Tribolium castaneum: one gene and its partners. The protein of the gene in region 1 purifies or fractionates together with the protein of each later gene. This does not show direct contact. Links are inferred from orthologs where the notes say so. Each region holds a gene or a part of one and is shown in the gene's direction. Other genes may lie near its edges.

Region 1 (3,755 bases):
CACTTATTTCACTGTTTATCGTAAAATTTTATTACAGCTGTAAAGTTGTTTTCCACTTCCTGCTTGACCAAACAAATCTATTCTCATGTTTGGATCAAGGAACCAAAATATAACGCATAAAATTATATTGTACACAGGCCATTCCAAATTTTAACGCCCGCCAAAAAAGAAATTAAAACTTAATCCCTTGTTAAAAGTTAATCCGCGGTGAATTTAAGCATCTGATTGGTCAAATTTAGTCACGCGATCAGTTTATCTGACTTTTGATTGCAAGTAACAAGAAACCTTTTTACACATATATTTTTATTTTCACAACAAACTCACAAAAATAAATAATACATTAATTTTTATCAAGCTATTATGCAACTGGTGATGGGCTGTTGTTTACAACTTCGTGGTTCTTTTCCTTGAGCCACTTCATCAATGATCGCAGAAAGGTCGTCATAGTCAGGATAAGCAAGGGTAGTTAATTTAGAATGAACCAAAGTCCCATTGACTTTAACTTCAAATGTGGCTCTCCTGCCTTCATGCCCATTCAGTTCAATATCGGGGTGTTTGGCTTTAATATGCTGCGCTAACTCTTCGAACTTTTTAAAATATCCACAAGTCCCACTACAAATAATCTCTGAAATGATATAAATAAAACTAAACCATCTCCATTTTTTTTACCAAAACTCAACATCGACTTCAACCCCCATTGTAAGTTAATCCAATCGAGGGATTATGGCCTCTCCCTTATTCTATGGCTATGGCTTTATGGCCCTTCCTGATTTTTTTATTTATTTACACTTGTCACATGCCCATAACCCCTAATTGTCATTTTGACATGGGGATTGTCATTGGGATATAGGGTATTTCCAGTTTGTTCCGTTGGTGTTGTCCAATTTTTGACTTCTAACCTAAAATCGTGTGTGTAAACGTTGGAAATCGTATCTTGATAATTGTTAAAAAAGCCAAAAATGTCGTACCTCTCCCGGCGAGAAGTGGAGGACTTGAAACCCTCTATAGACAAAGCCGTTTACAAACTGCTCGGCAGCAGTGATAGCTCCCTGGTCAGTACCGCAGTCCATTGTTTAAATTCAGGGTACGATAGGCGCAAAACTACTGACAAACTTTCGTCTTATGTTGATAGCAAAAAGGCGACAAGACTAGCCGAAAAGATATTTGATTTAGTCGAAGACTATCATGCCTCGCATCGGTCGAAAAAACGATCGCGTGACGATTCCCGAGAACGAGACTCAAAGCGCTCGAAATCGCGCTACGACGATAGAGACAGTAGACATGACTCCGACCGCAACAAATCCAAATCGAGCGAGATCATGGAAAGCGCCCAGAAACAAATCGAGGAGCGGAAGCGGGCCCTAATTGATGGGCTCGCCTTGGGCAAGAACAACATCAACATGAACATACCCCAGCCCAGCATTTACGGCATCCCCATGGGGCTCCTCAACAGGGGCGACGCCGACAAGGCCCGCAAAATCGCGCAACTGCAAGCCCAGATCAAGAGCAAGCTCTCCAGCGGGATTTTGACCAACGCCATACAAATACCAGTGGTGCCCAACAGGCCCACCCCCCTGATCCTGGACGACGAAGGGAGGACCATCGACAAGACGGGAAAAGCGGTGCAACTGACCCACGTTGTCCCAACACTTAAGGCCAACATCAGGGCCCAAAAGCGCGAACAGTTCAGGACGCAGTTGAGCGATAAAACGGACGACAGTAACGAAATGAAATTTTACGATGGGAGAATTGGGATAAAGCCGCCGATTCGGAACAAAAGACAGCTTAGGTTCCACGAACCCGGCAAATTTTTACAACAGGCCGAGCGGCTTCGTATGAAAGTATGTCTGGGTTTTTTGTGGAAGTGTGTTGGGTCATAATGAATTTTTTTTCAGGCCCAGTTGGAAAAACTGCAAAATGAAATTTCACAAATTGCGAAAAAGACCGGCATTTCGTCGGCTACTAAGCTTGCGCTTATTGCAAAGTCTGAGGGGGTGATTGAGGACATACCGCAGATGGAGTGGTGGGATTCCGTTATTTTGATCGATAATTTAGATTTGATGCTCAATGGGAAAATCGCAATAAAGGAATCTGTAATTACCACGTTGGTTGAGCATCCAACCCAGCTGAGGTGTCCAAGTAAGAACAACTATTTTTATTTTTTTATTTTCAGTCTCCCGTCGGGAAATACGTTGAGTTATATAAAAAAATGTGATTTATTCTCGGTTTCTTATATAAGAATTTTTCTGGTGTAATAAACGTAATGATAATGATAATTTTGGTTCAGTTTTGCGAAATTTCGGCTTATTGTGGGTGGAATTCTGTGAAACAAATAAACTGATTGCAAAACATTAGAATTTTTTACTTATTTTATTGATTATTCTGTCGCTTTTATTGACCTACTTTGGCGATTTTTCGGCTCAGTTTAATAAAATCCCTTGAAATAAGTATGTTTCTGGATAAAAAACGGACTACAGCGCTTGAAAGAGTAAAAGAAAATTTCACTTTTGAACTTATTCAGTGTTTTTGGATCCTGTTTACTGAATTTTCGTCGGAACAACTTCGTTTAAAACACGCAAAGGCCTCGAAAAAAGCAAAAAAAAACTATTAATGAGCTAATTATTGAATCTTTTGTCTGATTTAATTGAAATCCCCCTAAATAATTGTGTTCCTGACTGAAAAACTTGCTAAAACAAATGTCATTTTTGGCTTCATTTGCAGAAAAAAACTATTTTATTCCAACAATCTGTTTAAGTCTTTGAAAAAAGTGAAATATAACGCTGTTTTTTTATCTAGTTTGGTGATTTTTCGTCTTATTTTTGAAGAAATTCATCGAAAACTTGTTATACCTTCGGATGAAGCAAAAATAATGTAATACTTGCCCTAACTTAGTCTTTATTTGGCAATGTTTAGCGAAATTTCGCGAAAATTTAAGTCTTCTTGACCATACATCAGCATAATTTGACGATTTTCATTTTATTTCTGACCGAAATTTACCAAAATAATTGGATATCTGTCTAAAAAATGTGTTAAAACAATCGAAATGATCGAGAGTGATGTAATTTTTGGTTTATTTAGTGATTTTTTTTCCTCACTAAATTGACAACTTTTCGGATTATTTTAGTGAAATTCTTTGAAATAATTATTTCTAATTGAAAAACGTGTCAAAACGCCCGAAAGTTGAAGAAATAATGCCATTTTCAACCATATTTAGTGACTTTTGTTAGTAAATTTTCTCCAAAAAAAAAGTTTTTAGTTCAAGAACGTCTTTGAACTGTCGAAAAAAGCAAATGAAATACTTTTTTCGACATAATTTAGCGATTTCTAGGCTTGTTTGTAAAGATATTCTTCGAAATAATTGTTTCTGGCTCAAAATCTTGCGCTAAAACGCTCAAAAAAGAAGAAAATAATGTCATATTTGACCTTATTTAAATTATTTTTGAGTCACAGTTAGCGAATTTTCGCTAAAGAAAACTTAATTTCTTATCTTAAAAACACGTTTAAGCCCTCGAAAACAAAACAACATCCTAAGTTAACGATTTTCCAGCTTATTTTTGCAGAAATTCAACGGAATAATCACTCTCAATAAATGTGTTTTTCCTTAATTTCCTGACCTTATTTAAGTGATTTTTGGGTCCCAGGTAGTGAATTTTTGCCAAAAACCTTACATTTGATGATTTTTGAGCTCATTTTTGAATAAATTTGTCGACATCATTGCTTTTCTAGCTCACAAACTTGCTAAAACATTCGAACCT
Region 2 (3,755 bases), on another chromosome or scaffold:
CACATGCTTTCCAACATTTTACCAGTGAGCTGGTGCACCAGTTTTGGAGCAGCCTGTATATTTCTTGAAAGAGATAAAATTATGAAAAGAAAAACTGACTTTGTGGTTATAGATATTTCGCCAGTTGTCCAGTTACCGCTCGTAAAACGTCTAAAAACTAATAACCTGATAAAAATTTATTTCAAGGTCGACAATTATTTATGTTTCTAGTATACCTAAAGATACAAACCAAATTTTTTAAGACTATTTGCCATTTTCACCTTTAACATGTCATAATTTTGCAAATAAAAATTACTACTAGATAAAGCATAAAAAGTCCGATCGAAAAGATACAGAAGATGGTTTCATAAACTATAAAGCTGCATTCAAACTTAAATATCTATTTTCGCATTGGAGTAATAAGGTAAACATCACATCGAGATCCTATAAATATGACTAATAAATAACACACTTTGTACAACGGAAGACAAGCAATTTTGGCACGTCATCCAAAAATAAAATACAAATATATTGTCCAAAAATATTTACGAAGTGCATTCGAAGCAGGTGTTACAACAGACTATAAACAAAACTTTTCAAGAATGTTTCCAATTGTGAATTCAGCCACTCCTTCAGCAGGAAAAACTAATTATTTCCCAATAATTATAAGTGGTTCGAATTTATGATCATTTGCGCCAATAAAACTCCAGGACCGTATCGACACATTTTCAAATAATCAATTCCGGTTAATTAGGTCGCGAATTTAGAACGTCGAAAAAACGCAATCATCCGCAATACCTTTCGGTTACCTCCCCAATTACCCGAAAATTACATAATTAGGAACATAACACTTTTCAACTCCTCGCTAAATCGCCCATCGTCCCTCATCGGCTCCGCTTCGGCAAACTCCGGCACTGATATTAAAATGGAGTCTAGTTTACAAGCACAACGATTTGTAGTCGTTCAGACGGTGCGTTGCAAAGTGAAGTCTCTTTTTCGGCCGTTTTTCAGCGGAACCTAAGGGAAAAGTGGCCCTCAAAGGGCATCAAACGAAAGCTGAAGCCACGCCGGACACGTTGAAGGTAAATTTTTTGACATTTATGTAATCTGTGAGGAGTTTTCGCCCAAAACGATAGCCAACGTCGATCTCCGCAGTGGCATACATGTTTGTTCCGGTGTGCGCGTGCGCAGTGCCGATTTTTTGCGGGAACTTGGGGTGCCGGGCTTTTTCGAAATTTTCGTAAATTTAGAAGGGCCACCGCTGAGGTGAACTTCGGAGAGGGTTATTTAGTCGGGAGTTTGCTCAGTGGGAAGGTTCCTAATTGAACACTGCTTTCGCGGGTTTGTTATCAAATTGCGGGAATCCGGACGTTTATTATACGCTCCGGCCGGAATTTAACGTCACATTTTTAGTTTAATTAATTTAATCGATGGTAATTAATTATCTGATTTATTTGAGGTGTTGTGTATTATACCGATTACGATAAGAATAATTTATTGCAGTTATTGGTGCATTTAGATTGGTCATAAATATTTAATGTGTTGACGGATTAAATTAGAAATAGTCAAATCCTTGATCTTAGACAACTGTAACCGAAGTGCGACCGAAAAATCAGAATACACGCAACGGCTTGTACAAGAATACAGAGTATTTATAAAATGTCTATCATCAAGTCACCTAAGTCGAATTTAATCGCTATCTTCTGTCAATATACTTACATTACACCCAGATATTTGTAATTAATTTGTAATTTGGCTGTTTGACAAAAATGCATGTTTGCATGAATAATGGCAGTTTTGTTGTTACTTTTTTTGTAATAAGAATCTTTTATCGTTGATATTGCGTGTGGGTTATTTATTTTTACATATTTCATTGATAAAAAATCCAGGCATATAATATATGATTACTTCGTTGCCAACACGTTAGATCTTGTTACAACTGACATTTTGCATATTGAAAATATAGCCAAGCTTCAAACCGTGCCGAAACCAAGAAATAGTTGAGTATATACGGGGTGAGTCTGCTAAAAGTATGTTTCACTATTCTCAGAAACTAATGGTCGCACCGCATTCAGTATTCACTGTTAAATACATAGTGACGGTTTATAGAAGCGTCAATAATCTAATTCGCAATTAAATGCGTGATCAACTGATCACGTGAACAAATGATTGGTCTATTCACGTTGTTAACTTTTAACAACGAATTAAAATTTAAGGGAGCTTTCTATAAACCGGCCTATTAAGTTTTTTGCTATGTATGTGAAATTTTTCCAAATTTTTTTACTCTTCTTTACAAGGTGATTCAAAAGTGTCGGACAAACTCTCGTATGGTGATAAAAGACATTCAATTAAGGACAAAAATGAAGTTAAATATTTTTTCTAAGAAGTCATTTTTTTATATATTTTTTAATTTGTTTTCTTTAGCAGGTGTATCGATTTTTGCTCTTTTGTTTCCTATGATGTCGAATTTTATTTATTAGCGAATTTGCGAGTTTTTTAATTGTTTTGTACATCATATGACATTAATTTTTGATTTTTTTGTCGTTTACGCAAAACGTCAAAAAACATGTAATCTGAATCACCAAAAACTTAACTGAAAAATTCTACTTTGAGTAGTTATAGCTCGTGGAAAAAGGCTAAAACAATTTTTGTCATAGGAATTTTTAATTCTCTTTGATGTCCTTTATCCGCACCCGAGAGATTGTCCGGTAATTTTGAATTACCGTTAAGTTAATTTATTAAATTTGTATTAATATAATGAAATTAAAAAAATGGGGTTGGTTTATGGAATCGTCATTATTTTAATCCACAATTAAATGCGTGATTAACTGATCACATGACCAAATTAAAGCAATTTGGTTGGTCCATTCGCGTTGTTAACTTTTAACAAGGCAGTTAACTTTAATTGAGCTTTCTATAAACCTGGTAAATGCGCCCAAAGAATTATATTTTAATAAAGCTTTCTATAAACCGACCCTTAGTGTTATTCTAAAACAACGATGTCTAAATGTTTTCGAGCAAAAATTCTTATAAAATAAATTTTGGTAGCCCTAAAATTACGTTTATTTAAATTTTGAATTTATAACTTTATTTATTATTTTTGGGGCTAGCGACATTTTTTATGGATTTTTATCACAGGACAACATTTAAGTATTGCTTGTTTTCAGATGACACAAAAAATAACAGTTAATAATAATTAATAATTCATAAATTTTAGGACCGGTTTATAGAAGCGTCATTAATTTCACTGATTAACAGATCACGTGACCAAATTGAACCAATGTGATTAGTCTATTCGCCTGTGATTAGTTTATTCGCGTTGTTAAGTTTTAACAACGAATTAGAAATTAATGAAGTTTTCTATAAACCGGCCTATAATTGCTTAAGGAATTGTAGAAAAATTCTGAAAAAAATAAATTAAATTAAGTTTTCAGTTGATTTTAAGAGATAATAATTAAATTGCTTGCAAGTGGTTGAAATAAATGAAATATTACGATAGATTTTTTTTGGGTAAAATATTTATACATGGTGTTGGTAAAAACAACGGTGTAACCCTTCGCTTACTGCAAAATTACAAAAAAATGTAAAATGGCCATTTTTTTCTAACTAATTTGTCTTTACAGCTAGAACTTAAGTAATAATATTGTCTTATTAGGAAGAAGGTTTTAAATAATTGCAAAAGACGAAATACCTACTAGACAACATTTAAAAAAAACTAAGAAGAATCTTTGCCTTGAAACACCTTTACCTTTACATTTCCTTATAAGTTAATTAAT
Region 3 (3,755 bases), on another chromosome or scaffold:
AAGATACCCTCGGCGAAGAAGCTGGTCATGCAGATTACGACGACGGCGTGCCAGGGGCAGAGCACCGAGGTGAGGTATCTGGAGCACGTGCAGGCGGTGCTAACGGTGAATGCGAGTCGGAGGGGCGACCTGGAGCTCTTCCTCACGTCGCCGATGGGCACCAGGTCTATGATTCTCAGTCGAAGGCAAAACGACGATGATACGAGAGATGGGTTTACGAAGTGGCCTTTCATGACCACGCATACGTGGGGGGAGTACCCGCAAGGGACGTGGGTGTTGGAGGTGGGTGGTTTTTATTAATTTTTTACATTTATTTTTGAAATGTTTGAACTTGATTACGTGGAAATTGGGGTTGTAGGACACAGGATAAATTAAATTAAATTCGTTACGACGTTTCGATACTTTATTGAATATCTTCAGTCAAATTTATTATTATTATTTTTGTTTCAGGCCAGCTTCAATTCGCAGATGCCGCAAACGGGCTTTGTCAAGGAGTGGACTTTGATGCTGCACGGCACAAAGGAGCCCCCTTATACGGAATTGGCGGTTTTGGACCCACATTCCAAGCTTGCTATAGTGAAGAAGGCGCATGAAAATCGAATGAAGATGTAATTGGTCTCCAGTTTTGGTTTATTTATTTGTTAAAGATTTGATAAAGATTCATATATTTTTAAGTAGAGAGTAGCGATATACTGAAATATTTAAATAAATCCATCAATCTCTAACTGTACTGTAATAAAAGCATGTGATTATATAAGAAGTATAAAATATCAAGTAATTATTGGATTTTATTTTTACAAATTGTTGGACAAGAGCTTATATTTTGTATAGCGTTCATTATTCAAATATATATTAACTGAAAGAGATTATTTATTACAGTGCAAGCGATGAATCTCATGCAATTGTACAAAATTGTAAATTGTTTACAATATAAACTTTATTTCCGATTGTGATTTTGTTTGCTTCTGCTGGCCGACAACTGTAAATAAAACTAGACATTTAACCAATTTTTATTGCTTGTTTTATTTATTTAAGATTGCTTCATAGTTTTACAAATTCAAATCTTCAATTCAAACAGCTCGTATCTTTTTTGAGGCGCATGTGCACACCCAACCAGAAGCATGGCATAGATGGTCTCAAATTTATTCGGAGCAAAGACCAATAAATAAAACTACATTTTTACTAAAAAACTTTTATTCAATTTAATCAACTCACACCACGTTTAAATTAGAGATTTTATGGTCGTAAAGCGCAACCAGCAATACACATCCAGAAAAACAGTTTTACAGTATTTTTGCTAATAAATTTCAACATTGAAACCAGTTTCGGTTTTTCTGAACAAACAAAACTGTTAAATTGTTGTTAATTAGAAGTGTATTCCATTGGTATCGTTTCAAATTAATTTAGTAACTTTGCTGCTCAAAATTAGACTGGTAAATCTTCTGTCACTGTTTGCCAACATCAACATAACCCAACTTTCCTATTTGTCAAAACGTACTTTTTACGATGGAAATAAACGACGATTCCAACGAGCAAATGTCGGTCAACTCGGACTCGGACTCCGACTCCGGGGACGACCAAGAGGAGCAAGTAAGGGCCTCCACAATCCTCCAAAATTTTTCTAACTCTAAGAGTGTCTCAGGCCCTCCTCACTCGTGCTGAAGACCTCGAACGCCAAATCTCCGACAACAAGTACCTCTACAATGCCCACGAAGAGCTCGTCAACTTGTACCGAAAACTGGGGGACTTGAAGTCGATGCGTCTGGCGTACGAACGCTTCCAAGAGTACTTCCCCCTAACCCCCGAGATCTGGCTCGCGTGGATCAACGACGAGAAAAAGTTAGCGAGCTCCGAGAGCGAGATTAAGAATATTTTCGGGCTTTTTGATAAAGCCGTGGAGGATTATTTGTGTAAGTTGGTCAGGTAGCCTGAAATTAGATTGGCAAGCCTGACACGTTTTTTCAGCTGTGAATTTGTGGGTGGAGTACGCGCAGTACTCGATTGGGGTTAGCACCCTTGACACGACACGTGTGATAATCGAGAGGGGTTTAACCGCCGCTGGGTTACACGTGGCCGATGGGAGCCTCCTGTGGGACACTCTCCGGGAGCTGGAATTCGCCCATTTGTCCCTGACGGAGGCAGGGAGCGAGCCATGGAAAACCCAAGTGGAAAAAATCGTGGAGGTTTTCCGGCGCCAACTCTCAGTGCCGCTCCTTGACATGGAAAACACTTACAAGGAGTGGAAAGAGTGGCTAACGCAGGTGCAAGACCACAAAATCAATGCTGAACCGGTGGAGTGGGGCTATAACAAGGCTTTGAAAACCTTAGAGACCTACAAGCCGTTCGAAGAAAAACTACAAGTAACAACGGACGAATCGCAACTATTACGAGTTTATCGCGACTACGTCAAAGTCCTAACGGACCCCTCGACAATTTTGTGTCTTTATGAACGCGCAACGGCCCAGATGTGTCTCAACCCGGAGATTTGGCTCGATTATTGTCTCTACGGCCTGAAACTGGGAGCCCCAGCTGAAAAAATCACAACTAAGGCTTTGAGAAATTGCCCCTGGAGTCAAGAATTGTGGATTATGCGCCTACAAGTCCTTGAAAGTCTCCAGAAGGATAATAGCGAAGTTGTCGCTTGTTTCGAGCAGGCTGTGTCAAATTTAGGCGCCCAATCAAGCGAGCTGTGGCTCGCCTACTTAGAATACGTCTCACGGACGTGCCAAGACCAAGCCAAAGTTTTCAAATCTTTTGACCAAGCCTTAGAACAACTAAAATATAACGACGAAGGCGCCCTCAAAATCACAAAGTGGTATTCGAGAATTTTGGCCAAAAATAACAACATGCAAGGGGCGCGAAACCTCTGGAAAAACCTACTCAAAAGCCCGAACCACAAAATCCTGGCCAACACTTGGCTGGAGTACGCGCGGCTTGAACGCCAGTTCGGGGAACCCCCGCAAGTCCGCGCCATTTTCCAGAAAGCCCTAACCAATTGCACCGACTGGCCCCTGTTTATCGCCGACGAATGGCGTGAGTTCGAACGCGAGTTCGGTAAACTACCCGACGTTCTAAAATGCCTCGAAAAACGCAAAGAAATCGAACCGAAACTAAAAACGATTGAGCCGCCGAAAGCCACCGGAACCAAACGAAAACACCCGAGCGAAGCCGAACCCCCGCCTAAGAAACACAAAAAGCAGGCGGTGGTCAAAGACCCGACTCGCACAATTTTCGTCAGTAATCTACACACTAGTGTGAATGAAAAACGACTGAGGAAATTCTTCCCCAATTGCGAAAATGTCGAAATTGTGGTCGATAAGCGGGGGAAGTCCCGGTGTTATGGGTACGTGCAGTTCGCCCTTGAGGAGAGTGTCATGGCGGCGCTGGCACGTGACCGGGAGCTGCTTGACGGCCGCCCTATTTTTATTTCCAATTGTAAGCCGAATCGTGAGGAGCGGAAAGCCGGCTTTAAGTACTCGAATGAACCCGAGACCAATAAACTTTTCGTTAAGGGACTCCCCTATGACAAGTCGCAGGAGGAAATTGAGGCGATTTTTCGGCCTTTTGGGGCGAAAACCGTGCGTTTGGTGTGTCGGCGAGATGGTAAGCCAAAAGGACTCGCGTATGTTGAGTTTGAGGACGATGCAAGTGCTAAGAAAGCCATGGAAAAGACCGATGGGATGACAGTCGGGGACTTTACCATCAGTGTGGCAATTAGCGCGCCCCCTGTCAAGAAACCAACAACAGTTGCAAAA

What was found. Proteins that work in one complex are often made in the same cells at the same time.
Region 2: the proteins of Prp3 (region 1) and 7SK snRNA methylphosphate capping enzyme bin3 purify together in Homo sapiens (affinity purification with mass spectrometry; 4 studies listed by BioGRID and IntAct, counting the BioPlex papers as one, with this or other methods). This does not show direct contact. The link is inferred for Tribolium castaneum from reciprocal best matches to the Homo sapiens genes PRPF3 and MEPCE.
Region 3: the proteins of Prp3 (region 1) and Rnp4F purify together in Homo sapiens (affinity purification with mass spectrometry; 5 studies listed by BioGRID and IntAct, counting the BioPlex papers as one, with this or other methods). This does not show direct contact. The link is inferred for Tribolium castaneum from reciprocal best matches to the Homo sapiens genes PRPF3 and SART3.

Annotation. Positions count from the first base shown.
Region 1 is NC_087397.1:1,257,825-1,261,579, forward strand, and holds the start of Prp3 (U4/U6 small nuclear ribonucleoprotein Prp3), read left to right. Parts: upstream 1-959; coding exon 960-1,841; intron 1,842-1,895; coding exon 1,896-2,139; intron 2,140-3,755. Other genes in the region: migration and invasion enhancer 1, read right to left, coding at 351-612, 670-698. UniProt on the Homo sapiens protein: Plays a role in pre-mRNA splicing as component of the U4/U6-U5 tri-snRNP complex that is involved in spliceosome assembly, and as component of the precatalytic spliceosome (spliceosome B complex).
Region 2 is NC_087395.1:19,351,064-19,354,818, reverse strand, and holds the start of 7SK snRNA methylphosphate capping enzyme bin3, read left to right. Parts: upstream 1-906; 5' UTR 907-1,061; intron 1,062-3,755. UniProt on the Homo sapiens protein: S-adenosyl-L-methionine-dependent methyltransferase that adds a methylphosphate cap at the 5'-end of 7SK snRNA (7SK RNA), leading to stabilize it.
Region 3 is NC_087396.1:21,413,708-21,417,462, forward strand, and holds the start of Rnp4F (squamous cell carcinoma antigen recognized by T-cells 3), read left to right. Parts: upstream 1-1,301; 5' UTR 1,302-1,506; coding exon 1,507-1,590; intron 1,591-1,642; coding exon 1,643-1,910; intron 1,911-1,965; coding exon 1,966-3,755. Other genes in the region: amon (neuroendocrine convertase 2), read left to right, coding at 1-282, 451-612. UniProt on the Homo sapiens protein: U6 snRNP-binding protein that functions as a recycling factor of the splicing machinery. Promotes the initial reassembly of U4 and U6 snRNPs following their ejection from the spliceosome during its maturation.